2 linked regions of the Mus musculus genome follow. The protein of the gene in region 2 binds, or shares a complex with, the protein of the main gene of each other region. Links are inferred from orthologs where the notes say so. Each region holds a gene or a part of one and is shown on either strand. Other genes may lie near its edges.

Evidence for each region.
Region 1: Vps54 (region 2) and Vps52 share a complex: the UniProt entries of both Homo sapiens proteins name them as parts of the golgi-associated retrograde protein (GARP) complex. The link is inferred for Mus musculus from reciprocal best matches to the Homo sapiens genes VPS54 and VPS52.

Annotation. Positions count from the first base shown.
Region 1 is NC_000083.6:33,954,137-33,970,202, forward strand, and holds Vps52 (vacuolar protein sorting-associated protein 52 homolog), read left to right. Parts: upstream 1-1,663; 5' UTR 1,664-1,956; coding exon 1,957-2,046; exon of another isoform or gene 2,047-2,548; intron 2,549-2,793; coding exon 2,794-2,878; intron 2,879-3,712; coding exon 3,713-3,765; intron 3,766-3,880; coding exon 3,881-3,956; intron 3,957-4,153; coding exon 4,154-4,221; intron 4,222-4,464; coding exon 4,465-4,640; intron 4,641-5,088; coding exon 5,089-5,239; intron 5,240-5,526; exon of another isoform or gene 5,527-5,636; intron 5,637-5,813; exon of another isoform or gene 5,814-5,858; coding exon 5,859-5,959; intron 5,960-6,050; coding exon 6,051-6,183; intron 6,184-6,310; coding exon 6,311-6,368; intron 6,369-6,974; coding exon 6,975-7,108; intron 7,109-7,476; coding exon 7,477-7,632; intron 7,633-7,930; coding exon 7,931-8,049; intron 8,050-8,279; exon of another isoform or gene 8,280-8,286; coding exon 8,287-8,410; coding exon of another isoform or gene 8,411-8,425; intron 8,426-8,589; coding exon 8,590-8,685; intron 8,686-8,773; coding exon 8,774-8,881; intron 8,882-9,041; and 9 more. Other genes in the region: Rps18 (40S ribosomal protein S18), read right to left, coding at 942-1,040, 1,482-1,484. UniProt on the Homo sapiens protein: Acts as a component of the GARP complex that is involved in retrograde transport from early and late endosomes to the trans-Golgi network (TGN).
Region 2 is NC_000077.6:21,229,555-21,246,136, forward strand, and holds the start of Vps54 (vacuolar protein sorting-associated protein 54), read left to right. Parts: upstream 1-9,477; 5' UTR 9,478-9,817; intron 9,818-16,582. UniProt on the Homo sapiens protein: Acts as a component of the GARP complex that is involved in retrograde transport from early and late endosomes to the trans-Golgi network (TGN).

The sequences.
Region 1 (16,066 bases), on a different chromosome or scaffold from region 2:
TCGGGCTGGCTTCAAGCCCAGAGATTTGTTTGCCTCTGCCTCAGGGAGTGCTGGCATTAAAGATGTGTTCTTCACCCTCTCACACAGGACCAACAGAACCCTCAGTACCCAGGCTCTACAAACACTGTGCACAGCCCCTTCAAGAGCCTCCATTCACCTTGTCTGCATTCGAAGTCAGCTGTAATCATCTCCCAGCAGGTCACACGGGGCACAGGCATTGCCCCAGGCCCTTCAACCCCCTAGACACTGCTCTGCCCACCACACCAGGCACCTCCTGCTGTGCTATCATTGTTTGCCAAAGTGCAGAATTAAAAAAAGTCAACATGGCAAGGACTTAAAAGTGAGACTTCACAAGGTTAAAAAAATTTACTCCAACTTTTATGTCCACCTGACATTACCTCGGCTCCCCAGGCCTCCTTCAAACCTCTCAGCAGCCACCCAGTTCCATCTATACCCTAGCATCCCACAAGGTCCCACCACTGACAGGTCTCATGGCTGAACACACCTGACCAGCAACTCCTCAAATCACCAACTTCAAGTCCTGTCCCTGTCTACAAGACTTTTAGCTCTGCAGAGAAACATCCCAGCTTCCTCCTACGACCTCCCTTTTTGCCATAATGGGGAAAACTGCCAGCTTCTGTGTCACCTTCCACTGTGGCATCTGCCAATAGCTTCTGCAGACCACCCCCAACCATCACCGCTAAGCCTGGACACCTCTTAGGATGTTAGTTTACAGGAATTCTACTCAAGGTTTGCTGACAGCAGAGACTGCTCTCGGAAGCTGAAGATCTCGGGAAACCTCTGCAAGGTGGGACATGACTACACTCACACCCCACTACCCCTGGAGCAATGTTTTGGTTTAACCCTGGGTCATCATCAGGCTTTTATTGAAACGGGTTGGGTGAGTTTAGCTGCTTCTCTTTTGCCCCTAACACTTTTACCTTAATGGCAGTGATGGCGAAGGCTATTTTCCGCCGCCCATCGATGTTGGTGTTGAGTACTCGCAAAATGTGCTGGAACTTCTCAGGGATCACTAGAGACTGAAAGAACACGGGCAGTTATCAAGACAGGTTACCCCCAAACCGGGAAGGTGGCCGAGGCAGGGTTGGATTGTCTGCTAAGTTCTTACACAACTCCTCAGTCACCGGGGCTCACCCCTAACGCGCTCAGGCGCGGGAAATCGCAACCTCTGACAAGAGGGTGGACGTCGGCCGCGGCCCCCAATTCCCTGGACAGGGGAAGCGGGAGGAGCCCACACACAGCCAAGCTCCTGGCAGCTTTGCTGTGTAAGAGGAGCGAGCATTCCTCGGGGCCCCGATCCCCGGGATTTCACGTCTTAGGTCGTCCCCTCTCGGGTCACACTCCATCGCTCCACAGAGGGCTGTGGGCCCGCAGCATGGGGCACTCTCTGAGTCCTGACGGAAATCTCTCCCTGCCCCGGCTCCGATGTCGCAGGATCCCGGCGCGGATTCCGCTCTTACCATGGCGGCGGCACAGACGGCGGCGTGTAGGCCTCCTGTGGAAGAGAGAGCGGAAGTGACGTATAAGTCTTATATAGATTCCTGGCGGAAGAGGCGGGGCTATCCCCGGAGGTCCACTTCCGGAAATTGCTTCTCTCCCCGTCTCCCCCTAAGGGAGGAGTTGTATTGAGACAGTTTTGGAAGGGACCGGAGCTATAACTTCCGGTTCGGCCTTCTCTGTCGTCGTACCGTTCTTGTGTGGGCGCGGAGCGAAGGTTCCGGAACAGAGTTGTGTTCGAGACGTTCACCTTCCTGTTTGCACTTGACCGAAATGATCAAAGCCTAACCGGAGAGGCTGGAGCCGATCGCCTTAGCTCAAATATCTGGGACCCTTTTTTGCTCCATAGAAGACATTCCAGGACTTGTAGCTTTGCTTCGGGAAACGGACTTTCTGAGACTGACAGCTGCCGGAAGTCGGAAGTGAAGCTGCGGGGGAATGGCAGCCGCAGCGACCATGGCGGCCGCTGCCCGGGAGCTGGTGTTGCGGGCTGGGGCCTCAGATGTAGAGGAGGAGGAGGGCCCGCTGGTGAGAGCACGGGGCTGTAGGTCCTCCGGAGTATCGTCAGGTTGTCCCTCTCCTCAGGCGTAGGCTCCATTTAGACAAGAGGTTCGGAGCCGTCTTGCCACGGGTGATGGTGACCTAGCCTTCGTAGGGACCAAAGTGGCTGAAACCCAAGCCCCAGGGACAGTGTCAGCTTCCTGTTCACGATTTTTAGTAGAAAAAAATTTTAGTGTTTAGCGTAAAAGGTTAAGAACGTGGCCTCTGGAACCAATTTGCCCGGGGTCCCACCTCCAGCCCCACCGCTTGAAAGCTATGCTGTGTTTTCGGTGCCAAAACTTCCCACACCTTTACAGTGCAAACGCTGTTAGGACATACCTTATAGGTGGTCGTTAGGATTAGCCGAATGAGCATGTTAAATGGTGTACCAGACACAGGGGTAAACACTATGTAAGCTGGCGATTTTAGCCTCTGGAATTCCCTCAGGGATCACCTGGAATAGCTGGAAACTGAGGTCCTAAATTCAAAGGCAAGTTTGACTAGTCCTAGTTTTTTCTCATTTGAACAACTCCAGCAACTCCATGAATTGCCTGATATTCTCAGTAGCCCAAGATTGTAGATTTGAACGCATCAGAATCTTTGACCCACTTACTCCGGCACCCCCCACCCCCCAAAGCACCCCCCACCTCACTTGGAGGATTAAGGATACCCGATTATGTTTTGTTTCCAACATCTCTTTCTGTATCCCACATTCATTAACCTGTCCCTCTTCAGGGGGGGGGTTCTGGACTCCAAGAACCCCTACAACTTGGAGAGTTGGACATCACCTCTGATGAATTCATCTTGGATGAAGTGGATGGTAAGTGCTGACATGGGGTGGGAGCAAAGTAGACCCCTTTATTCTTTAGAAATATATTACATGACCCCAGTAGATTACCCTCTATGGTTTCTTTCTTTTGTATGTGTGTGTGTTTTTATTTTTAATTTATTTTTATTTTTTTGGTTTTTTTTCGAGACAGGGTTTCTCTGTAGCTTTGGCTGTCCTGGAACTCACTCTGTAGACCAGGCTGGCCTCGGACTCAGAAATCCGCCTGCCTCTGCCTCCCAAGTGCTGGGATTAAAGGCGTGCACCACCACCCCCCGGCTGGCTTTTTTCTTAATGTACAGATAAAGTTTAATCCATGAGTTGAGAAGGCTTAACTTCTAATTTAGGAATAGTAAGAAATGAACAGTACGAGTCGAATAGTCACAGCAATACACTATAATAAAATCGCAGCATCACTTTTTCCCCTTTGGGACTATTGTTGAGTAAGAATACAGCCTGGTTGAACATACATACGCAGACAGCTAAGACTGAGTGACTGGGAGGCAGGCACAGCACACACCATAGATTAACGGAGCAAAGATGTTTCAGATCCAAGCCCAGGCGAGAGGTTCTCTAGCTTCTCAGAATGCCACACATTTTAGATCTTACAAGCCACACTTTGGAAATCCCCTTTTAATATTTTCCATCTGTGGTCGAGTAGACCATGAGGAGCAGAAACAGCAGGAAGTCCCACCGGGCAAAGCAGCTGTGCCTATAACTGGAGAGGGTGGGGGCTGGGAGGGAAGGGGAGATTGGTGTGGTGTGCGTGTGCCCAGTGTGGGCAGAGGGAGGTCTGGCAGGGGACACTAAATATAAGCTTGTTTCCAGTTCACATCCAGGCAAACCTGGAGGATGAGTTAGTGAAGGAAGCTCTCAAAACGGTGAGGCTCTCCACTGGGTTGATCTCCCCACCCTCCCTTCCTTTTGGGGTCCCCTCAGCTTAGTGGCTCCCCTCTAGCCAGTCACGGAGTCTGTACTGGTTGTCCTTCCCCCCAGGGTGTGGATCTTCGACACTATTCAAAGCAGGTGGAGCTGGAGCTGCAGCAGATTGAGCAGAAGTCAATCCGGGACTGTATCCTCCAGCCTCACAGGCACAGGGCCAAGATGGCTGCTATTGGCATGGGCTCTTGGGGGCCTGTGATGCAGGTAGCCCTCAAGGGGATGTCTTCTCTCTCAGGCTTCTGTCACTTTGGGGAGGACCTGGGGGCAGGTACTGCAGATCGGCAGAGCTCTGTGTTCAGTGTGAAGCCCTTGACTTTTGTGGGTCAGATATCCAAGAGAGTGAAAACATAGCGTCTCTGCACAATCAGATCACGGCCTGTGACGCCGTCCTGGAGGTGGGTGGCCCTCACCTGTTGCCCCAAATCTGACTTAATTGCCTCTTCCTCCTCTTCCTCCTCCTCCTCCTCCTCTCCTTCTTCTTCTATCAGTATTTTTTGTCCCCCTTGGACAAGTGATGATCTCCCATCCTCCTGGGTTGCTGGGTACCAGGGATTTGCACAGAGACTTGGTTGACACACCTGTCCTTGTTCCCCGACAACCCGGAGTCATGCCCACAATGTTTCCTGCCCTCCCCACAGCGCATGGAACAGATGCTGGGAGCTTTTCAGAGCGATCTCAGCTCCATCAGCTCTGAGATCCGAACCCTGCAGGAGCAGTCGGGGGCCATGAACATCCGACTTCGTAACCGACAGGCAGTTCGGGGGAAACTTGGGGAACTTGTGGATGGGCTGGTGGTGCCCTCTGCTCTGGTCACGTGAGTCACTGGTTTGAAAGGTAGTAATGTCCAAAGCAGGTGGTTGGGCTGGGTTACCTAAACAATTTACAACATAGGTCTCTAGGCTGGGGTTGTCAGGTACCATCTAGAAACCAGGTGTGCCGGCTCATGCCCGTAATTATATGCTTGGGAGGCTGAGACAGGAGGATTGCTGCAAGTAGACTAGCCTGGGCTATAGAGTGAGATCTTGTAATGGATGGATTAAGAACTTCGAACCCTGCTTTACCCTCCATAGGATAGGACACAGGTTAAGAGTGCTCCAAGGCTACATGAGGAAGTGTGGCTCAGGAGATGAAAACTTTGTACATATTATCTTGAAGGCATGAGACCACAGAGAAAGGCAGAAATGACATGTGAGGTGTGAGGGGGCTCTCTCAGGGCTGTGGGGTACCCCGTCTAACCACACCCATTCTCCCGTGCTCCTCAGAGCAATTCTGGAAGCTCCAGTGACCGAGCCCAGGTTCCTGGAGCAGCTACAGGAGCTGGATGCCAAGGCAGCCGCGGTGAGAGAGCAGGAGGCTATGGGCACCGCTGCCTGTGCTGACGTCAGAGGCGTGCTGGACCGGCTCCGGGTCAAGGTGGGGAGTGGTCTGCTCAGAATCAGCTTTCCAGGAGCTTCACACTGCTTCCCGCTGTGCAGAGCGTGGTTGGCCCTCCAGATCCCCTGAAAATCTAAAGAAGGTTGAGATGTGGCTCAGTTGGCAGAGCGGTTGCTTAGCATGCATGCAGCCCCAGGTTCCATCCCCAGTGCCATATACATTGGCATGATGGCACAAGTCTGTTGTCCTAGCACTTGGGAGGTGAAAGGAGAAACGAGAGTTTGGGGCCAGTACAGATACATGAGACCCTGCCTCAAAACCAAGCAGTGTTCACCTTGGCAGCATAGACACTAAAATTAGAACAATACAGAGAAGATTAGCATGGTCCCTGTGCAAGTAAGAATCATATTTACAAAATGAAACAACCCAGAAAAATAAGGCCGGGTGTGGTGGTGCAGGATTTTAACCCCAGCACTCAGGAGGCAGAGGCAGGCAGACCTCTGTGAGTCCCAGGCCAGCAAGGGCTGCACAGAGAGACCCTGTTTCCATAACCAGAACACAACCGAAGTATTTGTTCCCTTTGCTTTATCTTCACCCCATTCCTGCCGTACAGTGAAAGCCCACCCCGCCTCATGGCCCGTCTGTTCCCCACGCCTAGGCAGTGACGAAGATCCGGGAGTTTATTCTCCAGAAGATCTACTCCTTCAGAAAGCCCATGACCAACTACCAGATCCCCCAGGCGGCCCTGCTGAAGTACAGGTGGGTGCGGGGTGGGCGCGGGGTGGCCTGTGCCCTCTCAACACTGCAGCGTGGGCATCCAGGGAGTCTGACTTGCCCTGGTCCTTCCAAGGTTTTTCTATCAGTTCCTGCTGGGTAATGAGCGTGCTACAGCCAAGGAGATCAGGGATGAGTACGTAGAGACGCTGAGCAAGATCTACCTGTCCTACTACCGATCCTATGTGGGGCGGCTCATGAAAGTGCAGGTGAGCAAGGCTGGAGACATGGAGGAGGATGGGGAGGAGGAGGAGGGGAAGGGGGAGGAGGGGGAGGGATGAAGTCCTCACCTGCTGCTGGTGGAGAGTGATGGTTCAGCTCTGTTATTTTCTCTAGTACGAGGAAGTTGCTGAGAAAGACGACCTAATGGGTGTTGAAGACACAGCAAAGAAAGATATCCTGGAGAGGAGAGCCCCATGAGCTGGGCTCATGGCTGGGACCATGGCGGGGACATCTGGCTCCAGCCTGCAGGCTGTGTTTCGTTTCGTTTCGTTGCTTTGCTTTGCTTTTCTTCCTTTCTTTATTTCTTTTCTTTTCTTTTTTTAAGAAGATTTATTTGCTTTATGTATGTGAGTACACTGTAGCTGTCTTCAGACACAGCAGAAGAGGCCATTAGATCCCATTACAGATGGTTGTGAGCCATCATGTGGTTGCTGGGAATTGAACTCAGGACCTCTGGAAGAGCAGTCAGTGCTCTTAATCCCTGAGCCATCTCTCCAGCCCGGGGCTGTGTTTCTTACCCATTCTGTGGTTCTCAACCTTTGAGGACATGAAATCGAGAGCTTTTTCTCTAAGAAGCACTCGCCGCTCTGACAGATTTTCACATTTATTTCTGAGGGTTTGTAAAACCTTGACAGCCATTAAGGGTGTCAGGCCAAGCAAGGCTCAGGTTCTGGAAAGGGCTATCCGGGCCATATTTAGTTTCCTGGGACTCGGGTCTTGGCTTGTTGGGCCTGGTGCAGTTGGTCTCATTGGTTTCCCTGACTCCAAAGCTGTTCACGCTTCTTCTCGAAGCCGTCCCTCCGAAGCAGGAACACCATCTTTACCCTTGGCACTCGTGGTACTGTCATCTCACCGGCCGAGCTGGAGGCCCCCATCCTAGTGCCCCATACTGCCCAACGTGGAGAGCAGAGGGTATGGTGAGGCAACCCCTCCATGGCCAGGATCAGTTCCCTGAGTGTTAGTTTGGTGTGTGGGGGGGGGCCGGTGTCCCTGGCCTGCTGTGATGCGGGAAGTTAGGAGCCATGGACTCAGAGGCGGGCAGAGGGAGACTGGCTGGGGCGTGACTGTTGGGAGGCAACAGTTGAAGTGAATGTGGGGGTAGAAGTCAGTGGGGAGGGCTTTTCTTGTGACCTGTGCCCCATCTTCAGTGCCTGTTCAGGGTGCTCCTCCCTGCCTGGAGGAGGGTGTGTGATCTTGTGAGCTCTGATTACTAAGCTGTGCTGAGTCTCCACATCCACGGGTTAGTGAGAGACCCATCGTGTCTCTCTCTGTCTCGGTAGTATCCATTCGAAGCGCTCTTCCGCAGCCAGCACTATGCCCTCCTCGACAATTCTTGCCGTGAATATCTTTTCATCTGTGAATTTTTCATCGTGTCTGGCCCGGCTGCACATGACCTGTTCCACGCCGTCATGGGCCGCACGCTCTCCATGACGCTGGTGAGCTCCCAAATTCTGAGCCTGTCCACAGGCAGACAGCAACTCCTGAGGAATGAGTGTTCTCTAAGCCTTGGCCCTGGAGCCCCCATCCCAAGCTCAGCCCCAGCTTCTGCTCAGCCCCAGCTTCTGCTGTGGGGAACTTACATAAGTGTGGCTGTGAGCAGGTCAGGCCGCTTGTGGTACCTGTGGACAGGGAAGAAGCTGGTCTCCCTGGTCTGTGCCTTGTCCCCAAAGAAATGTACATCTGTCTGCCTACAGCCACTCGAACAACAAGCTAACATTCATTTGTCTGCCACAGAAACACCTGGAGTCCTACCTGGCTGACTGCTACGATGCCATTGCTGTTTTTCTCTGTATCCACATTGTTCTCCGGTTCCGCAACATTGCAGCGAAGAGGGACGTCCCTGCCCTGGACAGGTCACTGAGCTCTGGTCCTTGGTGTCTGGATGTGGTCAGCTTCTTATGTTACGAAAACAGTTCCATCCTGACTCTGGGCCCTCACCTGATGCCCTTCACCCTTATTCCCATTCATGTGTCCCAGGGGCAGCATTGGCATCAGGCACACCCACTCACTGTCACCCTGAAGCGTGCTGTACTCCCCTGGGCAGACTGCACCCCCAGCCAGCTGACCTTTGATTCTGATTAAGCCTGCAGGTACTGGGAGCAGGTGCTTGCCTTGCTGTGGCCTCGGTTTGAGCTGATCCTGGAGATGAATGTCCAGAGTGTCCGCAGCACTGACCCCCAGCGCCTTGGGGGACTGGACACTCGGCCCCACTATGTAAGGGCGAGCAAGGTTAATAAGGGGGTCTGTGGTCACACTGAGTGGTGGGTGGGTACTGCCGAAGGAGTCAACTTAGGCAGACAACATCTGTTCTGACTGGTGACAGAACTTGCAGGGGTATCTGAGGGTTGTATCTCCCAGTCAGGCAGGTGTGAGCCTTCCCTTCTTGCTCCCAGATCACACGCCGCTATGCTGAGTTCTCCTCTGCACTTGTCAGCATCAACCAGACGATCCCCAATGAACGCACGCTGCAGCTCCTGGGACAGCTCCAGGTATAGCTAGGCAGGACATATTTGCCAGCAGAGGGACGGGACCTGTGTCCTTGCTTTCTAACCTGCTGCTTTCATTTGGCTTGTGCAGGTGGAGGTGGAGAATTTTGTCCTCCGAGTGGCTGCAGAGTTCTCCTCCAGGAAGGAGCAGCTTGTGTTTCTGATCAACAACTATGACATGATGCTCGGGGTGCTGATGGTAATGCTGCTCCTCCCACGGGGGTCCCTACAGCTTGTGAGCTCTGCCTGAGCTCAGCGCTTTACCCCTGGATGCTGGCAGTGTCCACATCATGGAAAGAAGGGGAAGTGATGGCAACAGTGAAGGTTCCCAAGCTCCTGACTCCTCTTGTCTTCCTTAGGAGCGGGCTGCTGATGACAGCAAAGAGGTGGAAAGTTTCCAGCAGCTGCTCAATGCTCGGACACAGGTAGGGCCTGGGTGCAGCAGGAAGACTGCGATGCTGTTGGACTGACCTCTGTGTGCAGTCATGAGTACAACCCACTGCCTTGTTGCTAGTCTATTTCATTTAACTTTTTCAAGGTACTAATAGTTTAGAAGCAACATAGAACTATACCTATTTATGTATGCATGTGTGTGTACTATAGCTACATGTATGTATGCATGTGTGTGCATGTACTATAGCCCTGTGTGTATGTGTGTGTGTGTGCACTATAGCCCTGTGTGTATGTGTGTGCATGCACTATAGCCCTGTGTGTATGTGTGTGTGCACTATAGCCTTTTGTGTATGTGTGTGCATCCACTATAGCCCTGTGTGTATGTGTGCGCACTATAGCCCTGTATATGTGTGTGTGTGTGTGTGTACTATAGCCCTGTGTATATGTGTGTGTGCACTATAGCCTTGTGTGTATGTGTGTGTGTGCACTATAGCCCTGAGTGTATGTGCACTATAGCCCTGTGTGTATGTGTGTGTGTGCATGCACTATAGCCCTGTGTGTATGTGTGTGTGTGCACTATACCTCTGTGTGTATGTTTGTGTGTGTGTGCATGTATTATAGCCCTGTGTGTATGTGTGTGTGTGCATGCACTATAGCCCTGTGTGTATGTGTGTGTGTGCACTATAGCTCTGTGTGTATGTGTGTGTGGGTGCATGCACTATAGCCCTGTGTGTATGTGTGTGTGTGTGCATGCACTGTAGCCCTGTGTGTATGTGTGTGTGTGCATGCACTATAGCCCTGTGTGTATGTGTGTGTGTGCATGCACTATAGCCCTGTGTGTATGTGTGTGTGTGTGCATGCACTGTAGCCCTGTGTATATGTGTGTGTGTGCATGTACTATAGCCCTATGTGTATGTGTGTGTGTGTGCATGCACTATAGCCTTGTGTGTATGTGTGTATGTGTGCACTATAGCCTTGTGTGTATGTGTGTGTGTGCACTATAGCTCTGTATGTTTGTGTGTTTGTGCATGTACTATAGCCCTGTGTGTATGTTTGTGTGTTTGTGCATGTACTATAGCCCTGTGTGTATGTGTGTGTGTGCATGCACGATAGCCCTGTGTGTATGTGTGTGTGTGCACTATAGCCCTGTGTGTATGTGTGTGTGTGTGCATGCACTGTAGCCCTGTGTGTATGTGTGTGTGTGTTATTCGACGCGTTCTCACGACCGGCCAGGAAGAACACAACAACCAGAATCTTCTACGGCAAAGCTTTATTGCTTACATCTTTATGGGGCCAGAGTGTAAGAAGCAAGAGAGAGAGAAAACGAAACCCCCTTCCCTCTTTAAAGAGAACAACAATTGCCTAGGACGCATCACTCCCTGATTGGCTGCAGCCCATGGCCGAGCTGACGTTCACGGGAAAAACAGAGTACAAGTAGTCGTAAATACCCTTGGCTCATGCGCAGATTATTTGTTTACCAACTTAGAACACAGGATGTCAGCGCCATCTTGTGACGGCGAATGTGGGGGCGGCTTCCCACATGTGTGTGCATGCACTATAGCCCTGTGTGTATGTGTGTGTGTGCACTATAGCTCTGTATGTTTGTGTGTTTGTGCATGTACTATAGCCCTGTGTGTATGTTTGTGTGTTTGTGCATGTACTATAGCCCTGTGTGTATGTGTGTGTGTGCATGCACTATAGCCCTGTGTGTATGTGCATTCTGCTTTGCAGGGAACTGTTTGTGTGTGTGCACATGTAAGCTCACACAGGCACATCTGAAGCTCATGGAGGTCAGAGGTCACAACTTCTAGGTCACAACTTCTTTTCTTGCTTCTTCGACCTTGTGTTCTGGGGACCAGTGGAAAGCACTGTTCCCTGATGAGCCAGCATACTGGATCTTGGTTCTGGAGAAAACCCTTGGGGACATCCCCTGCAACTTGTGACATCACCACCTAAGGTGGAAGGCTCACAGAGACTGCTGTCTGGCGGGTCATTAGACGTCCCTGTGCAGAATGGGGGTCCTTTGCTCCCAGGAGTCTGACCCTGTGTGTGCTTGCACTTCTCTCTAGGAGTTCATTGAGGAGCTGCTGTCTCCCCCCTTCGGGGGTCTGGTGGCATTCGTGAAGGAGGCTGAAGCCTTGATTGAGCGTGGGCAGGCTGAGCGGCTCCGAGGGGAGGAAGGTATCTGATGTCCTGGTGCAGTAGGTAGTGGGAATTAGGGACAGTGAGCGGGGGTGGAGGGGGTGGGGGGGTGGGAGTGGGGAGTCACAGGGGAGGCAACGCAGCAAGGAAGACTTGGCTGGAAGAACACCAAGAAAGCCAGGCTTGATGGTGAGCACAGATGTGCCCAGGGCAGGCCTTGCTGGGTCACCAGCCCTGGTTGCTCTGTGCCTGGTGGACGGTAACCAGACCTGGAGCTCTCTGACACACCTTTTCCTCTGGCGGTCAGCCCGAGTCACTCAGCTGATCCGTGGCTTTGGTAGTTCCTGGAAGGCATCAGTGGAGTCCCTGAGTCAGGATGTAATGCGAAGTTTTACCAACTTCCGAAATGGAACCAGCATCATCCAGGTGACCGGCCACTCCCACCCTTTGCCTGTGTCCTAAGGTTGTCTATTTCCTCGCTCTTTCCCCTGGGCTCCGCATCACACAAACGCCTTGAAGGCCAACAAGCATCTGTGCCTGAGATTCTGGTGAAGCTCTGACAGCTCAGGTCACCATGAGTCTGACCCTGACTCTCCTCTGTGCAGGGGGCGCTGACCCAGCTGATCCAGCTCTACCATCGCTTCCACCGGGTGCTGTCTCAGCCCCAGCTCCGCGCACTCCCGGCCAGGGCCGAGCTCATCAACATCCATCACCTCATGGTGGAGCTGAAGAAACACAAGCCGAACTTCTGATTCAGACCCCCCTCCCCCGCCCCTAAGCTCCTGTGTACTCTGTGTGTCACACATTTTCACCTGGGACCCCTTTCCCATCCCTTTTATCTCTATGGCTTCCACACTCCCCTCTCAGCCTCCATTGCCAGGACTCTGCCTCAACAGAGTGCGTTCAAGGCCACTCCCTGGGTTTCTGAGTGAGGTGACCTTCATTTCCAGTCCGGTCAGCTCCTCTGCTGTTCACTCACAGCCTGTGAGCTTCCACCGCCCCAGGCTCTGACTGACCCTCAGCTCTTAGGGCAGAGCACTGCAGGCCACCCTGTAGCTGATCTGTGGGCTCTGCTGGAACAGTGACATCACCTCGTGGTGGGTCTCACTATGTGGCAATAATAAGTACTAACAGTGCTGGGACCGTGTCCTCTCCTTTGTCCCTGGGCCTCTAAATTCTCCAGCATGTGTTTATTGTAGACCTAGTCTGTTCCTGGTGGGCATCAGGAAGAGGGTGTGATAGTACCCCAAGGTCTGTTGCTGCTTCTGGCCCAGGGGTGGCATAGATGCTCAGGAGGGGACTGTTTGTAGCTCTCCAGGAGGGTGGCACTTGTCGCAAGGCCTGGGAATGTGGTAGCTTTGGGTGCTGTCCTGAGGGATACCATGGGAATAGTCCACACAGCCTCTGAGATTGTGTCAGCCACTAAGTGGCTGTTACAGCTCCTTTGAGGATGGAGGGCCTATAACACCTGCAGCCATGCATCAAGGCAGGGGTGGACCTGGCTCCAAAACAGATCCTGTCATTTTCATGTGACCCAGACCCTTCCCGCTGCCCTCTGCCTCACCTCTGTAAGGAGTTTGCAGACTCCAGAGCAGTGGTTCTCAACCTTCCTAATACTGCAACGCTTTAACACAGTTCCTTGTGCTGACCCCAACCTTAAAGTTATTTTCATTGTTACTTCATAACTGTGATTTTGTACTGTTAAGAATACTAGCCAGGCGTGGTGGCACATGCCTTTAATCCCAGCACTTGGGAGGCAGAGGCAGGTGGATTTCTGAGTTCGAGGCTAGCCTGGTCTACAAAGTGGGTTTCAGGACAGCCAGGGCTACACAGAGAAACCCTGTCTCGAAAAAAAACAAAAAAAGAATATTAATATAGGGGCTGGTGAGATAGCTCAGTGGGTAAGGGCACCCGACTGCTTTTCCAAAGGTCCAGAGTTCAAATCCCAGCAACCACATGGTGGCTCACAACCATCTTTAACAAGATCTGACTCCCTCTTCTGGAGTGTCTGAAGACAGCGACAGTGTACTTACATATGATAAATAAATCTTTTTTTTTTTTTTTAAATAAGAATACTAATATAGCCAGGCATGGTGGTGCATGCCTTTAATCCCAGCACTTGGGAAGCAGAGGCAGGCGGATTTCTGAGTTCGAGGCCAGCCTGCACAGCCAGGGCTATACAGAGAAACCCTGTTTCGAAAAACCAAAAAAAAAAAAAAAGAATACTAATATAAATATCTGTGTTTTCTGATGGACTTAAGCAACCCATGTGAAAGGGTTGTTTGACCCCCAAAGGGGTCATGGCCCACAGGTTCTAGAGTGAAGGTACATGCTTGACCAAGTTGTTTGGTTTTTGAGACAGGGTTTCTCTGTGAAGCCCTGGTTGTCCTGGAACTCACTCTGTAGGCCAGGCTGGTCTCGAACTTAGAGATCCACCTGCCTCTGCCTCCCAAGTGTTGGGACTGAAGGTGTGTTTTTCCATAGACTGGCAACCTTGACCAAGTCTTGAACAAAAGCTAGGCTGGTTTGCAGACTGTAACCCTGTCTAATTAGGGACCAGAAGCACTGGATGGAATGCCCGCTTCAGTTATGAGTAAGTTCAAGGCCAGCCTGGACCACGTCTTAAAAGTAAAGGCTGGGACACAGCTCGGTGGCAGGAAGTCGTCCCTAGGTCCCATCTGCAGTGTGGGGGAAATTGCAGGTGAAAGACGCTGTCAAGGAAAAAAAAGTAATTTGAGGTTATTTCCTTTACCCCATTCACTTCCCAGGGCCTTGGCTGGAGAGCCTAAGTCCACCCCGCCCCCGCCCTGGGCATCCATGCTCCTTTCTCACTTGTTACAACTTTCCCACCTACTCCACCACCCACTTCCAGGTGTCAGACCTGGGGATCCCAGGCTTCTGGTTTTACCTTATAGCCCCTGTGTTCTGGAACTTGCTATGTGGTTGAAGAATGCAGAGATCTGCCCTCCAGAGGGCTGGGACTGAAGGCATTCCCAGAGAAACCCAGGGCCCTTTCTTTGTGTGGTCACATCAAGCTCAGCTGGTGTGTAGTTCAATGAGGACACAGTCAACAGGCAGGAAGCCCTGGGGTAAATCCTGGGCAACAGCAACCACAAAAGGAAAAACAACTAATGCTTTGCTGTGGCGGGCTGTGCAGGGGATACCCGGCTTCTTAGTGTGGCCCTTCTTCAGTGTGACCCGGACAGCTTCGTGGGCTTGTGAAGCTGCCCAGCAGTTCCTGGACTCTGCAGTCTGCAGTCTGGAGGGACATTCAACATAGAGCCCAGTCCATCTCCAAGATTCTTGAGAGCTGCGATGCGGCTCATGGCCACGAGGGGGCAGCAGGACACAGGAATAAGAGTGGCTCCAGTTCTTGATCACCTAAGTGGCTGTGAGCTTTGAATGCTGGGGAAGGCAGGGAGTTGTGGTCGCCTATGCCCTCTTCATACCCAAGCAGCCAGGGATTTTCCTTTCAGCCCCCAATCTTCTGGTTTGTGGTTTTCCCGGGTCCTTATGAACACAGCTTCTGAGTGAGATTACACCTCGGCCCCTCACCTGATTGTTACTCAACACCACACTCCAGTCACAGTGAAATAGACACACAAAGACAAACACACACACAACACACAACACGGCATTATGAGGTGATACAGGAGGGTCAAGAATTAAAGATCAAGACTGGAGAAAAGACTCAGAGGTTGAGAGCATTAACTGCTCTTCCATAGGTCCTGAGTTGAATTCTCAGCAATCACGTGGTGGCTCACAACCATCTATAATAATATCTGGCGCCCTCTTCTGGTGGACAGGGACACATGAAGGCAGAACACTGTACATAATAAATCTTTTAAAAATAAAGAATTCAAGGTCCACCTGAGCTACAACAAGGCATACAACAAACACAAACAGCATAAATGAACGAACACACAGGCTCCATAGACCAGTAGCATCCGGAGTCACTCTATAGGAGGAGTTGTGTCCATTTCTTTCTTCCCTTGCTGAATTTCTAAGATCATTGTGTACATCTAGTGCAGGGGACCCTACAGTCCTGCACTAGGTTTTAGAAGTGTTCCTACATGCTGTAGTGACCCCCCAAATACTGTGCAGTGTCGCTTTACAGAAATCTTATTTCCCTTCATTTCTTTTTCATTCTTTTAAAAAATATATTTATGTATATGGTGTTTTGCCTCCATGTATGTCTATGCCCCACAAGCATGGAGTTCCCCAGTCTGCCAGAAGAGGGCAGCCTATCCCCTCTGAGACTGGAGTTACAAGTGGATGAGAACTGGAACTGAACCCAGGTCCTCTGGAACAGCAGTAAGCATTCTTCACCTCTGAACAATCTCTGCAGCGCCATAATTTTACTCGGAAGTGACGCCATCTTTATTTTTATGTCTTGGCTCTCTGTGATTCTTTTCTCTGCAGCACAGGGCCTCACTCAGGCCTGAGCCTCCTAACTACCCTGCAGAGAAGGTTTGAACAGGAGAAGCCCTGGGGTCCTCAGGGTCAGAGAGTCCCAGAGAAGGAGCTTCCCAGTCTGTCCCCAGAGTGCACAGTCTACAAAAATGTCTGATGTCCTCCAGCACCAATGCAGCATTGCTAACATAACCCACACATGGAACATTCCAGATGCCCTGTGTAGGCTTATATTTTCCTAAACCTACTTTAATAAGCTTACTTAAGTGTTTTAACCTCTCTTCTACCTCACCACCCACTAGAGGAAGTAGAAAGGAAATGTTAATAGGGTAAAGGAGGGCGTGGACCTGTTTAGAAACACCTTTTTCGGGAGAGTCCAATCCGCCTTGTCGGGATATCAACAATTGAGTTCACACCAGTCAGCAATCTAAGTTTA
Region 2 (16,582 bases):
GTCAAGAGCTCCGGGGTACTGGTTAGTTCATAATGTTGTTCCACCTATAGGGTTGCAGATCCCTTTAGCTCCTTGGGTACTTTCTCTAGCTCCTCCATTGGGAGCCCTGTGATCCATCCATTAGCTGACTGTGAGCGTCCACATCTGTGTTTGCTAGGCCCCGGCCTAGTCTCACAAGAGACAGCTACATCTGGGTCCTTTCAATAAAATCTTGCTAGTGTATGCAATGGTGTCAGCGTTTGGATGCTGATTATGGGGTGGATCCCTGGATATGGCAGTCTCTACATGGTCCATCCTTTCATCTCAGCTCCAAACTTTGTCTCTGTAACTCCTTCCATGGGTGTTTTGTTCCCAATTCTAAGGAGGGACATAGTGTCCACACTTCAGTCTTCATTCTTCTTGAGTTTCATGTGTTTAGGAAATTGTATCTTATATCTTGGGTATCCTAGGTTTGGGGCTAATATCCACTTATCAGTGAGTACATATTGTGTGAGTTTCTTTGTGAATGTGTTACCTCACTCAGGATGATGCCCTCCAGGTCCATCCATTTGGCTAGGAATTTCATAAATTCATTCTTTTTAATAGCTGAGTAGTACTCCATTGTGTAGATGTACCACATTTTCTGTATCCATTCCTCTGTTGAGGGGCATCTGGGTTCTTTCCAGCTTCTAGCTATTATAAATAAGGCTGCTATGAACATAGTGGAGCATGTGTCCTTCTTACCCGTTGGGGCATCTTCTGGATATATGCCCAGGAGAGGTATTGCTGGATCCTCCGGTAGTACTATGTCCAATTTTCTGAGGAACCGCCAGACTGATTTCCAGAGTGGTTGTACAAGCCTGCAATCCCACCAACAATGGAGGAGTGTTCCTCTTTCTCCACATCCACGCCAGCATCTGCTGTCACCTGAAATTTTGATCTTAGCCATTCTGACTGGTGTGAGATGGAATCTCAGGGTTGTTTTGATTTGCATTTCCCTGATGATTAAGGATGTTGAACATTTTTTCAGGTGTTTCTCTGCCATTCGGTATTCCTCAGGTGAGAATTCTTTGTTCAGTTCTGAGCCCCATTTTTTAATGGGGTTATTTGATTTTCTGAAGTCCACCTTCTTGAGTTCTTTATATATGTTGGATATTAGTCCCCTATCTGATTTAGGATAGGTAATGATCCTTTCCCAATCTGTTTGTGGTCTTTTTGTCTTACTGACGGTGTCTTTTGCCTTGCAGAAACTTTGGAGTTTCATTAGGTCCCATTTGTCAATTCTCAATCTTACAGTACAAGCCATTACTGTTCTGTTCAGGAATTTTTCCCCTGTGCCCATATCTTCAAGGCTTTTCCCCACTTTCTCCTCTATAAGTTTCAGTGTCTCTGGTTTTATGTGAAGTTCCTTGGTCCACTTAGATTTGACCTTAGTACAAGGAGATAAGTATGGATCGATTCGCATTCTTCTACACGATAACAACCAGTTGTGCCAGCACCAATTGTTGAAAATGCTGTCTTTCTTCCACTGGATGGTTTTAGCTCCCTTGTCGAAGATCAAGTGACCATAGGTGTGTGGGTTCATTTCTGGGAGATTTTTTATTTCTTCTTTTTCTCCTTCTCCTTCTCCTTCTCCTTCTCCTTCTCCTTCTCCTTCTCCTTCTCCTTCTCCTTCTCCTTCTCCTTCTCCTTCTCCTTCTCCTCCTCCTCCTCCTCCTCCTCCTCCTCCTCCTCCTCCTTCTCCTTCTCCTTCTCCTTCTCCTTCACCTTCACCTTCTCCTCCTTTTCCTCCTCCTCCTCCTCCTTCTTCTTCTTATATTTAGTTTCAAAAATTGTCTGAAGAATGGCTGAACAGTTGGAAAAATTGCAGGCGGAAATAAAGGGGCCCGAGAAACAAAACATGGCTGAAATGGGAAAACAAAGGGTGTCCTTCTGCTCTTGCTTTTCTGAAAGGATTGTAGAGTTGTCTGTGCAACTGGAGAGGCTGTGGGCGGAGGAGAAGCTCCTGAGAAGCAAGGAGCACCTGAAAAGAGAGAACACAAAGGTTCAGTCCTGATGACTGAGAAAAAGAGCAGGAGTTTCTCACAGGAGGAAAGAGGGGGAAACAGTGCTGAAGGATGGCCAGGTCAGAGAAAAGCTGAAAAGATAGGAGGACAATCTGATGAAACAGCCTGACTACACTGCCAGAGTGAAAGGAGGGATGGCCCAGGTTTACAGGACCACCATCAGCTTTCCCAGGAGTCATACAACATATGGTTGCTAATGTGGTAGAACAAGGTTATGACAAGATAGGATGGCATCCTACAGAAATGATAGATCTAAGGCATTTTAAGGAGGTCTTGATTTCATATAGGATGCACTTGCCTTACATGAAACAAATTCTGAATAACTAGGTTGCTCAAAATAGAATTATTTTCCAAGACTGGAAGGGATTGGTAACAGCTGTACTACAGTCTGCAGTTGCGATGGTTAAGGAAAAAACTTTGAATATTGAACAGCAAAATAGAGCAAGGGAATGGGTATAGTAAAAGATCAGTTGCTGGGTGAACTCTGATATACAAGAACAGATTCAATTTGATGATGCTACTGTAGAACAATGTCACTTAGTGACTTTAAGAGCTTGGGACAAAGTTGAGGAGCTCAGGAAAAAGTCTACCTCAGTTACAAAGATTATACTCCGGGGCTCTGTTGAAGGCTTCACTGATTTTTTTTTTTTTTAAAACAAAGATTAGTCGCAGCTGTGGACAAAGTCTGATGATCCTAATGGAAGACAGATGTTGATCAAGACCTTGGCATCTGAAAATACAAATACTAAATGTAAAAAGTTATTAAACCATAAATGGCTTGAGCAGCACCTATGGATGAGTGGATAAGGGAATCAACTGATATTGGTTCTAACTTGTACCATGCTATTATAATAGGTCATGCTTTACAGCTAGAGGTCTCTGATATCAAAATGCCTGGTGCTCCAATTATGGGAAATGTGGTCATTTGCAAAGAGACTGTGACCAAGCTGCTAAAGGTCTCAGACCTCAAAGTAACTCGTGCTTTAATTGTGGGAAATATGGTCATTTGGAACAAAATTGTGACCAAGACATCTCTAAGGGCAGTGGTTTTTCTAAATATAAACCATAAAGAAGACTTCCAGGGGTGTGTAGGTGATATTGCTATTGGATCAATGAGGGTAGGTCCAAAAGAGATATTTAAGGTAATCTCTTACCATTGGGAAACAGCCTTGGGTGCTGCCTTAGAGCCCAGCAGCAAAAATTATAAACCATTTGAATTAAATCAGCCTATATACTATAAGGATGTGTTGATATAATAGTGGAAGCCAGTGAAAGTTTTGTGTTAGGGATGCTGATTTGTTTATATGTCCATAGGAAATGAAAAGCTGTAGATAAGATACCTTCAAACTGATAAAGATTAGAACTGAACAGGCAAGGTCTACTGAAGACATTAGCTACAACCTGAAAAACACTTATTTCACTGAAAATATCTCTGTTTATACTTTCCAGCTACACATAGCATAACTAATGACTTAAAACAGAAGGGGAGACATATAGTGAGAATTCTGAAATTTTGGTTTCTTTAAAAAGTACAGAAATATTATAAAAATGTGCTTTTGTTTTAATCCCATATGTGAGTCTATGGGGCTGCTTTGGATTGTTCACAGCAGCTGACTATGATTTGCCTGTGCTCTAGCAGAGGTGTGGTTCTGCCAGCTCTGATTGTGTGACATGTGCAATTCTGGGAACTTTTCGGAGGGTACTTTGGGTTTTGTTGTGAAGTCCTCCTAGTGTTATGATTCTTGGTAATGTTTTATCTGTTTTGCTTATAAGTATTTCTGTACTGCTTGATTTTATTTTCCTTAAAACATTATGAGTCGGGGCTGGTGAGATGGCTCAGTGGTTAAGAGTGCCGACTGCTCTTCCAAAGGCCCTGAGTTCAAATCCCAGCAACCACATGGTGGCTCACAACCATCCGTAACGAAATCTGATGCCCTCTTCTGGAGTGTCCGAAGACAGCTACAGTAGTGTACTTACATATAATAAATAAATAAATATTAAACAAACAAACAAAAACAAAACAAAACATGAGTTGTGTGAGAATTTGTAATCATTTTGCTGTGTGAGCTCCTTCTAAGAGATGGCTGGGTTCAACCCCATACCTATGTATTATGGAAGGCAGCTCTGGCCTCTGCTGGTAATAGAACCAAGGTCCTCTGGAGTTTCAGCAAGTGTTCATAACCATTGAGCCATCTTTCCCACTGGTCTAACAGAAGTTTTATTTTACTTTATTTTGCTTACGCACTTTTTGATTTTTTTTAAAGACCTGGTCTCACTTTGTAGCTCTGCCTGCCTTAGAACTCACTCTAGACCATTCTGGCCTCAACGTAGTACTTGGATTAAAGGTATGCTCTACTACACCCAGCTGTAGCAGAAGTTGTAAATGAAAAAATGTTTTCTGCTGGGCGGTGGTGATGCATGCCTTTGATCCCAGCACTTGGGAGGCAGAGGCAGGAGGATTTCTGAGTTCGAGGCCAGCCTGGTCTACAGAGTGAGTGCCAGGACAGCCAGGGCTGCACAGAGAAACCCTGTCTCGAAAAACCAAAAAAAAAAAAAAAAAATGTTTTCCTAATGAATGTTTTGTCTTTGTAGACATATATTATTATTTATTGAACTCTGACTCTGTACCATGCTTTGTTCCAGGCAAAGTGATAGGCAGGACAAACAAAACTCTTTGTCTTTGTGGAACATATATATTCATGTGGCAACAGGTAGATGATAAATCCTTTTTTTTGTTGTTGTTGTTGTTGTTTTTTTTTTTTTTCGAGACAGGGTTTCTCTGTGTAGCCCTGGCTGTCCTGGAACTCACTCTGTAGACCAGGCTGGCCTCGGACTCAGAAATCTGCTTGCCTCTGCCTCCCAAGCGCTGGGATTAAAGGTGTGCATCACCACCGCCCAGCCATAGTTCTCATTCTACTTTCATACACATATATTCCATTACTCCCCTGCCCCATTAAGACTTCTTCCTCTTCTCTATCTCTCACACACACATATTCACACTCAAGCATATATAATTTTATGCATGTATAATTTTAAATTTAGGTTTCACAAATGAGAGAAAACACATAGTATTTGTTTTTCTGATAGCTTATTTTGCTAAACATGATCTCCCTGCAACTGTTATATCATTTTTCCTTATAGATGACTAAGTTTCCATTCTATGTATGTATCATATTTCCTTTATCTGTTTACTTGCTAATGATCATCTAGGGTTGTTCCACTTCTACCCCATTGTGAGTTACTCAGTGTGGATGTACAAATATCTCTGTGGTATGTTAATTTACGAGTCTTTTTGGTAAATACCCAGGAGTTGTACATCTGTTGCCCATCTTCGCCTTTAATGATTTGTTTGTAAGACAGGGTCTCACTGTGCAGCTCAGGCTAGTTTGAAGTCTCAGAGATTTTCCTGTCTTAAACTCCTAGTGCTGGGATTACAGGAATGATTCACTGTGTGTATGAATGTATGGATGGATACCCGAAGAACTCAGAAGAGAGTATCAGAGTCACTGCTGGCTGTCTCTGCTGGGTAATGCCATTGTTGCTGATGTGTGTTTACCATCCCGACTCTACCGAACTGGACTGCTGGTGTGTCTGTGAAGTGTATGTGGGTGAATCGAGCTGCAGCTGCCCTCTGACCTGTGAACTGAATTGCTGATTTCCAGACAACAGATGGGAGTTGCTCCAAAACACCTTTCTAAACACACCCACTGTCACCCTCCCATCGCTCATACTTTCTATTCCACTACCTCTGGTGCATGGTGGGCCTTTAAGAAAAAAAATTAAAGTTACATTTATTTATTTATTTATTTATTTATTTATTTATTTATTTATTTATTTAAAGGCATATGTAGTTGGGAGCTGGGGCTTTTGTTTCAGCACTTGGGAAGCAGGGGCAAGAGGTATCTGTGAGGGCCAGGCCAGTCTGTTTTACACAGCAAGTTCTAGACCAGCCAGGAGTTGATACCTTCACAAACAAGATTTCTGCTACATTTAATCATTAACACCATAACAAAGTGCCAAGTAGACTTTTAGTCTTGTAGCTAAGCAGGGCAACCTTTTTTACCAGCTTTTCTTAATTTTCTGTGGCCTTGATATTGGAAAAGGAGCCACAGTAGTGTATCTACACACATTTCATTTGTAGTTCTTTTTAATGCTAAAATGATTCAAATGATAGCAACCAAATCTATTATTTAACTTATTATTTTAAACTTTCCTCTTAATAAAATTACTTGCCCAATTTGTTTTGAAAAGCTGACATCAATATTTGCTTTTCTGTGTAGATTTCAGCTTATGAATTGTTCTGTGACAAAGTAAAAAGTAAACCTGTTGTTGGATCTGGAAAAGAACCAAGCACAGTACTTAAGGCTCATTTTCTTCTTGTGGCAAGCTATCAACGGTAGGGGGTAAACCCGTTTGTCCTGTTCTAGTGTTATGGAAACACCCAAGGCAGGCATCAATCAACCCAAGTGCAAACTAGAACAATTTGGAATTTGTTTTGGAAAAGGGTGTGATTAAGTCACTCTAACATATCTATTACTTCAAGTAATTTTTTTAAAGTTTGAGAATATTTAAAATTTTCTATTTTAGAAAACTTGAAATATATGCTGTTAACTATGGCTACTATGTTGTGTGACAAACCACAAAATTTCATTTATTTAAATGTAAAGGTGGTTCATTGACCACTTTCTTGTTCAGATTTCTTCACCCCCAAACCCTGGTAATGGACTATTGCCAGAAATGTCTCAGACCAGCCAGCTCCCGAATAATGATACAAAGACTTATTATTTATTATAGCTTAGGCCTTAGCTGGCTGGTTACTTCCCAGCTAGCTCCTCTAACTTAAATTAACTCGACTATTCTAGTCCATGTTTGCCATGTGGCCCATTACCCCTCATTCAGTCCTGGCATCGTCTTCCTGCTGGCAAATCCTCCCTTCTCAGTTGTTCCTCAGAGACACTCTTTTTGCCTGGAACTTCTGCCTTTCCTCTCCTGCCTCAGCTATTGGTTGTCAGCTTTTTATTAAGCCAATCAGAAGGTAAAGGAAGTGTATATTTACAAAATACTGAGGCATTTTATGATCCGTAAAAATAACCATAACAAAATTCAGCCAGTATTCAACTCTCTGTCTCTACAGAAATCACCATTTGAATGATACAAAGACAAGTTTTACACAGTGCACATTAAGATTACCTCAATGATGTTTCTGTGTAAACTTTTCTTGTTTTTACAAGAAATCAAAGATTTAAGAGGACTTTAAAGCCAGGTGGTGGTTGCACTTGGGAGGCAGAGGCAGGTGAATCTCCAGGTTTGAAGCTAGCCTGGGCTACAGAGTAAGATTCAGGACAGACAGGCTATACACTGCCTCAACAACCCCCTCCAAAAGGATTAAAAATCTTTTTTATAATTAGAAAACTTGTTAGTTTTTTCTAACTTGACATAAGCAAGAGTCATCTGGGAAGAAGGACGCCTGACTGAGGGATTGCCTTCACCTTGTGGCCTAAAGGCAAGTCTGTGAGACATTTCCTCCCTTAATGACTGATGTGCGAGAGCTGGGCTAACTATGGTGGTGCAAATGGTCCTGAGTGGGATAAAAAAGCAAGCAGAGCAAGCTCTGGGATAGAAGCCAGGCAGCAATAGTGTTCTCAGGTCTCTGTTTCCGGTTGACTCTTTGCTCTGACTTCCCTCAGTGACACTATGACCTCGGAGTTGAGAGAAGAAATAAACCCTTTTCTCTTCAAGTTGTTTTTGGTCTTGGTGTTTTACCACAGCAATGGAGAAGCAAACTAGAACATGTATTTATTATTTGTTGGATGTATTCTTACCCTCTTTATTGTAGAGTTTTTTTTTTTTTTTTCCTCTTTTCTTTTTGAGATAGTCTCACATTACCCAGGCAGGCCTTGAGTGTCCCATGTGGACTCTGAGGGTGGCTTTGAACTCCTGATCCTCAAGTCTCTACTCCAAAATGCTGGGATTACAGGACTGCTCCATTGTGCCTGGCTCCATTGTAAAGAGTTGAATTCAGAAAAATATAGCGCAGGACTTTTCTTTTGGCTAATCTTTTGTGTTTTCCTTTCTCTGTGTCCTTTCTGTCCTTCAACCATACCTTTTTTTTTTTTTCTTGTTTTTTTTTTTTTTTTTTTTTTTTAGACAGGGCTTCTCTGTGTAGCCCTGGCTGCCCTGGAACTCTGTAGACCAGGCTGGCCAGGCTGGCCTCAAAACTCAGAAATCTGCCTGCCTCTGCCTCCCAAGTGCTAGGATTAAAGGCATGCGCCACCACTGCCTGACCAACCATACCTTTTTGGTGAGTAAATTAACAAAAGCTGTTAGCAATTTTCAATGACTTACTAAGACCAAGACTTGCATCAGTTTCTTTTTCCAGTTAACTACTGAGTTACATTTTCACTTTTGCTTTGTAAAACAGACTTTTGAAATGCATGAAACTTATTTGTAGGCTAAACAGTTCCAAAATGGAATAAAATCTTCATAAAGTTAAGAAAGACCCTCAAGTAATTAAGACTTTTTTTCTTATTTTTCCAGACCTTGGTGGCTCTGAGTCTCAAGACTCCTGAATCAACCAAAGGTGATTGGAGACTTATAAACATATTGTAGTCTAAGACACCCTATCTTGCAGATGGTAATTTTACTAGTAAGATCACAATTCTCTCTGAACTCAGCCTAATTGGAAATGCTGTTAGGAATCACAAATAGATTTTAATAATAAGCACACACACCCAAGTTTTTCAGATTTTTAAAGGGCAGGGACAACTGACTTATGCGCCTGAGAAATGTGACAGGTGATTGGAAGCCAGGAACTGGGGGGACAGGGTAGCCTCAAAAGGCCTTAAGTGCTGGAGGCCAGTGGGGTATCTGGAGTTGACCTTTCACCTTTGAAAGGCATTAATTTTGGAGACGGAGCCATGTTTGTTTACTATGAGGGGCTGAGGGAGTCAGGGCAGGCGGAAGCTAGGGCTTTAGTGGGTGTAAGCGGCCGGGAGTCAGTTGGTCTGGGGGGCGAGGGGTCCGCTCCCGCCCGCTCGCCAGGGAAGGCGGAAGGCAACGCTCGGCTTCTTTGGACAACCTGGGCGGGGGGGGGGAACCGTGCGAGCTGGAGCGCAGATCCGAGACGACTCCTGCCTTTACGAGGACGACAGGGGGAGGCACGGGGCAGCCACGCGGGGTCGTCCCCGCTCTGGGGTCGCTAGCTCTGCGGCGGCCGCGCCAGGCCCTGTCGGAGCTGCGCGGCGACTCCCGGTCTGGCCGCGGCCCTCCCGCCCCGGCGACGCCGCGGTGGATTGTGGGCTGGGGGCTGCGGCGGCCTGGCGGCGGCGGCGGCCTGCTGCACGCTCTCCGCGGACCCAGCCGCGCCGGGCCGGTGGCGTGAGGCGGGCGGCGGCGTGGGGAGCTGAGGCGCCGGGGGCGGTGGTCGCGGCGCGGCGGCGGCTCCCCTGGAGGCCGGGGATGTGGGAGAGGCGGCGGCAGCAGCGGCGGAGGCGGCGCTGCGGACCCGGGGGAGACTGCTGGCTGACAGGACACCCGGGCGAGACGTGAGGGGCCCGCCGCGGCCGCTCTGCCCCCGAGCGGCGCTGGGCTCGAGAGGGCGGCCCTGTGCTCCCGGGCCCGCCGGCCAGCAGGCGCGGGGCGGAGGCGGGAACCGGGCTCGGACCCGGCGCGCAGGGCGGCGGCGGCCGCGGAGCAGCAGTCTCGGCGCGACGTGGAGGGATGGAGGCGGCGGTGCACTAGGCCTCGTCTGGGGCTGCCGCCCGGGACCGCAGGTAGGTGCCGGGCCCGCGCTTCGCGGCCACCCTCCCCCGACCCGGTGACCGGCGGGGCGGCGGGACCCCACCCCCTCCGTCTCCTCGGGGCTTGGAGCTGACAGAGTTTCGGAGCCGGTGACCGAGCCGAAGCTTCATCCTCCCCGCCACCACCACTTCCTTCTCGGCACTCCCAGGATCCGGGCCGGCAGCTGTGCCCCAGCCCCGGCCGGCGTCCGCAGGTGCCGCCCCAGTCCCCTCGCCCCTCTCCGGAATCCGGGACCAGCAACTTCCATCAGTCCTTGTAGACGCGGAGCCCAAACTTTCCCTGTCTCCTTTCAGCCAGGCCTGAACCCCTCTTGGAGCCTTCTAGAATAAAAACACCGCCCCCCCACCCCCCCGCCCGAGAATACTAAACCAAAGAAGAACTCGGCATTGTGCAGTTTTGCATTGTAGTTTAAATTATTTTATTTCTTTCAGTTTTGCTAACTGCTGTCTGCAGGGATACAAAGACAGGCCTTCCCTGTTCCCTGTGGGTTGTCTGGGAACTTTTGCCTGACCATTATAATTAGCTACTTGGCCTGTCCGTGTATGGCTTAGGGTGACTTTTTTTTTTTTTTTTTTAAAGAATTTTGGCCTATTAGAGTTACAAAGTGTTTCTTAAAATACCTTTTTAACCAAGTTTGGTTTTTGGTCCTTATAGAGACGTCTTTTACTTTCGAAGAATTAAATTGGGCTACTTCTGTTTTCTAATTGATTTAATTTCGGGTTCTCAAACTCAGGTCAGTCTTAATACATGTTCAGCGGGCAGGGGATATTATGATACGCTGTTTGTGGTATATGGAGAAGAAGGTGATAACTTATGCTGCAGGTCTTGATGGGCATTGAGTTTTATAAATGGGAGCTCTAATTGGAAAACTATTTGACTCCCTAGCAGTTTGGCTGGAACAGATGTAATGATAGGATATGTCTGACTGTATGTAGTACAGTGAGTTGGGTTTCCTAGAAGTGGGTATTGGTGCTCTACACTAATTATCATTAGGTAAAATTGGTCACTTTGTACTTGATAGTTGTAGTTTAGGATGTTAGATGCTAACTTTTGTATTGTCTTTTGGCTAGTTTTAAACTGTGTTCTGGCAACCTTAGAACTGTTACTATAAGTACCAGTCTGTTCACAGTAAAACTGTACACACTATCCGTGTGTTGTTGTTGACACTCATATAATTTGTTCTTGTGGTATTGCTGCTACAGCATTTGGCTTTCTAAAATGTTTTTCATTGTTTTCAAAATTATAACTGGCAAAGTTATCTAGAGTTTACTAGGAACAGAGGATTAAATTTGCATGTATTTGTGTTCTGGAAAAGCTAAATTATATTTCTGAATAAGAATTTTTATTACAATTAGATCTTATATAAACCATGAAAGGACAATTTGCAGAACCTATTCTTAATTAACTATTAACTTTTTTCCCCTACTCTTTTTAAAAACAGCTTTGTGGAGTTAACATACTGTAAAGTTCACCCATTTTAACCCAGTGGTATTTTGGTTTTACCTTGTTAAGTAAGCTCTGCTGAAGTTTTAATCCAATGCCTTGTGACTGTAAGAAAGGGACTCTCCACCAGCGATGACCAGTGCAGTTGGTTGTATTTCCTATGTGATCATCCCCATATATTATTGTGAACACCCTCTTCTCAACCCTTCTCTTCTCCTAATTTTTTGCCTCACCCCTACTGTTCTCCATGAAGCGTTAATCTACTTTTTAAATTTATTTACTTAATGTGAGTCTTTCACATAAATGATGTGAAATTATAGCTTTTTGAAAAATTATTTTAAAGTCAATATACATACATACATATATACATATATATACATACACACACACACACACACACACACACACATATATATATACATATATATATAAAAATTGGGCCAGGGAGTAAGATCCCAATCTCAGAAAAAAAATATTGTAAACAACTGATAGACTGTATGTGGAGGAAGACAAGAAGCATGAGTCACTTTGGTCTTAAGAGTATTGGTGAGGTAAGGGTCAGCCAATGAAAAGTTGGAGAAGAATTTTTGATAATACTGGAATATAGAATTGGAAAGGACCTTACAGGTCATTGTTGGCATACTTCCTGCTTGTCTCAACAAAGCAGAAACCAGAGGAAGAAGTCTGAAGGGTAGAAACTTGAATCTCCAGGACACTTGGCACAAGACCTGCGATGTGCTTATGTAAAGTGAACATTGGGTGTAGGGATGAGCTGGGTACTGGAATTGTTTAGATTCTTGTGTGTATCTATTTGACCTCATGCTGTTATAACTGGGTAAGAACTGGACATTCCTCCAGCATTAGGGACAAGTGCTGACAGAGGTTCTGTGCAGACAGAATACATGGTTTAAAAAAGCTTGAAAGCAAAGCATGACAAATATGTTATTTTGAAATGTTATTTTAAAATCAGTTTACTTTTTTTTTTTTGCAGTTTGGGTTAGGGAGTAAGCAGGTGATTTTGAGAATGAAAAAGAACAAAAACAACATTGTAAAGAAGATATAGATTGTTTTGTTGTGTCAGTATACATTTGGAGAAAGAAGAGGAAAAAGCTTGAGTGGCTTGGGTGCTTCAGAGCTAGTTTGGCGAGCTGAGGGTCAGTGAAATGTTGAATCACAGCTTACATTGTTCACATTTTAAAGATCCAATAAAAAACAAGTTAAAAATTATGATTAACAAATATATTTGGAGGCTTTCTTTTCTGAACTTTCAGAGTTCTAAAATCTAAAACAATAACTATCCAAGCATGGTTTTGTTCTTCAGAGAACTTTTGGAAGTGTCTGGAGATGATTTTGATTGTTAAGATAACATCTAATGAAGGATGTTAATAACTGCTATATAATACATAGACCTCTCCATCCCCCCAAAAGAAAAGACTGTCTGTATCAAAGTGCCAGTAGTACTGTTTAGACTCATGATCTGTATGATTCTGGTAAGGACTTGATCTATTCTTAGAGTCCCACTGAATATTATTTGGTGGAATAGAGAAATACTTAATTCATCTAACAGTTCTCTTTATTGGGGGAAGCAGTTGAGGGCAAAGCGAAAGTAAAGAAATTGGTATAATGTAGATATGTGTTGGTCTGTTTAGTTTACAAATCTGAACAAAAACACCCTTTTAGAAGCTAGAGAGATGGCTTAGTGATTTAAGAGCCTCCCTGGCTGCTGTTGCAGAGGATCTGAATTCAGTTCCCAACACACACAACTGTCTGTAATTCCAGTTCCAGGGGATTGATCCCCGCTTCTCACCTTCTTGGACACCAGACAAATGTGGTACACAGATTTATATGCTGTTAAAACACTCATATACATAAAATAAAATATATTCATAAAAGAAAAATATCCCTTCCCCTTAAAATGTCAGCCTTATATTAATGTACATTTTACTGTATTTTGAATTGCTGATTATTACTGCATAGGTTTTTAAAATTAGAAATAAACATATAGTACTATCTTTTTTAGCATTTTTTACCTTCATACATCCCCTACCCCTACCTCCTGTTAACTTATCGAGAAAGAAGCTAAATGTTTGAATGGCTTATGTATGCAAGTATGTATGTAGTAAAAGTCCAGGATTTTCATATTTATATACAACTCGCATTTCTGCTTCTATTGGTCTCACTTTTGACTCTGATGTTTTTAAATTAATTTTTAAATACTTTGGTGCTGCTGTGATCCATCTCTCCTTCCCAAGTGCTAGGGTTGTAGACCTGTGCCACTGGGTTTGGCTTTTAGGTGATGTTTTTGGTGATGAAAAGTGGTAGGATCACCTTTGTTACTTACTGTCCATGTGACTTTAGAGAAATTATGAAATGTTCCTGGGGTTCAATTTTCTCATCTAACAAATAGTGAGTGTGTTTGGTGATTACTGTATTATGAACTTATTGCCAATGTAAGTGAGTTTATGGGTTGTAAGATACTGTGTCTGGTGAGCCAAATAGTTCAGTGGGGAGAGCATTAGCCTGAAGATGCTTTGTTGACTTTAACATTCTCTGTAAGAGTTGTTTCAGAAGAACAAATTAGAAAGGAATATGTAGAACTTATCAAAAGCAATGTAGAGGTAGCAAGGTAAAATGAATAATGACTGACAGCTCTTAGGGAGAAAAAAAACACTAATTGTCTCTGTCCCTGCCGTCTTTCTCCCTCCCTCAAAAGAACCACTTAATACATCAATAATTGAAGTTCCTTGCTCCAGAGACCGACTTCAGTAGCACCTGAGGTTGGCTTATTGTAAGATTTCTATCAGGCTTTTTTTCCTGGTCTTTTTTCCCCTGTATTGTAGTCATTGATTTTTCAAAAGGGTAAATCTGATCATTTAATTTGTGTGCTTAAATTATTTCTAGCTTTATAATTAAGATGAAATATTATTTCTCATTTCTTTAAGATAAGTGAGTTCCTTTCCTAACATCTTTTTAGCCTTAGAGACTCCACAATTCTCCCCCATTCCTAAATATGTAATTGTCTAAGGCATGTTGAATTCTTTGTGGTACCTGACAATAGATTCTTTTTCTTCCAAATCTTTTCACATACCTCACCTTTTCTAGATCTCCATTACTGTTTTCCCCAACTGGTCTGACTCATTCTTTAGTTCTTGGTAAGCTGTCTACATAGTTATTAATATGTATGGATGCTTTGTCTATTTGTACTGTGCATGTGTCTGATACCCTTAGAGACTAGAAGAAGGTGTTGGATTCCCTGGGACTAGAGCTATAGATGGTTGTGAGTGGTTGCTGAGAATTGAACATGGGTCCTCTTGCAAGAATAGCCAGGGCTCTTGACCAATGAGCCATCTTTTCAGCCTCCTGGCATTGATGTTTTATTATTTAAGATTTTTAAGCCATAGGTCAGTTGAAAGAATAGTAGAGTGAGCACCACACTACCCCCAATTTTTTTTTTTTTTTTTGACAAACTGGTGTGGATATTTCCCCCATTTTCAAACATGCGTCTCCCAATTATAAGACTATTCTGCAGGATTATAGTTATGGTATCTAAGAATGTCAGTATTTACGTGGTAGCATCATTTGCCATAGAGTTAACGCTTAAACATTCTCAGTTGTCTACTGTGTTCTCACTTAATCTGCCCCACTCTATCACCATGAGTTGAATGGTCAAAAGTAGCTTAAAAAAGGAGTCCTTAGGCTGGACACAGGGCTTCTACTCTGTAGTGACAATTTTGACATTTTGGTTTCTTTAGAAAACACAGAAATATTACAAGAATATGTCTTTATTTTAATCCCAGGTATGGGATATGGACCTGCTTCAGATTGTCCTCAGCAGCTGGCTATGATTTGCCTCATGCCCTAGCAGGGGCGTAATTTTTCCAGTGGCAGACAGTGTCTACAGTCGTGTGACATTTGGAATTCTGTTGACTTATCAGAGAATATATAATGCTAGGGCCCCAAGAGGCAGACTGGGTTGTTGGTTGGTTGCTGTTGGTTTCTGTTTAAGTAGTCCTGCATAAAGATGAAACAAGAAGAAATTAGATGTCTGACAGTGAAACTCAAACTTGCCTCTAATGAACAGGAAGTTGTTTAATGATAATGTTGCCCCCTTTCCTCTCTATCCTTTTTTCCTCTCCTGTTTAGAGTTAGAGGTTTGAAAGGATAGAAGAAGGGGGATGGAAAAGGGTGGAAGAAAAAGAGCCCACAAAGTAGCTGAAAGTCCAGGTATATATAATATACATATAAAAATTAATGTACCTAATTGCCAATTATACACAACTCCTACCTTTTGGACCTAAAATATAGTTGTCTGTTCTTTTTAAGATTAACCCACTGTCTGACTGTTCACCAATTCTAGTATTTCCCATCTCTTGGCAAAGCCAATCCTCCCACTCCCAAAAAAAAGTTCAAGTACCAAATTAATGTTCTGTTCATCAAACCTATCTCCTTGACCTACAAATTCTTTTTTTTTTTCTTTTAAAGATTTACTTATTTATTATATGTAAGTACACTGTAGCTGTCTTCAGACACACCAGAAGAGGTCGTCAGATCTCGTTACAGATGGTTATGAGCTGGGATTTGAACTCTGGACCTTTGGAAGAGCAGTCGGGTACTCTTACCCACTGAGCCATCTCACCAGCCCAGAGCTACCAATTCTTGATTCCTCCTCATTGCCAAACCCCCAAGGCCCACCTCTTCAGCAACCTGTCTTCCATTTCAACACTTACTCGGCTTAGGATAAAAGAAAGGCCTACTCATTAAATCTAGCAGCCTATATAATATATTCAGTCTTCATTTGACTTGACCTTACTGTCCTCAAAAGTGACTTTAGAAGGTATGAAAGCTGAGCGTGGTGGCGCACGCCTTTAATCCCAGCACTTGGGAGGCAGAGGCAGGCGGATTTCTGAGTTCAAGGCCAGCCTGGTCTACAGAGTGAGTTCCAGGACAGTCAGGGCTACAGAGAAACCCTGTCTTGAAAAACCAAAAAAAAAAAAAAAAAAAAAAAGAAAGTTAGAAAAGCATTATTTGTAATTCTCTAAGGTAATGATTTAAAGACAAGATCATTACTTGATAACAAAACCATCAATTGAAAGGTCCTTAGGAACAGGATATTTATTCTTCAAAAACTTAAATGTGAGAGGCTTTAGGATTTGTTTTGTTCTGAATAATTAGTATAATAATTAGTATCAGGACACTAAAAGTCACTATCAGTGTCCTAATTTCACTTTGGTTGGCAAAAGTTTTGCTAATAATGCAGTTACATCAGTGACCCAAAGAAGGAATAAAGTATATAC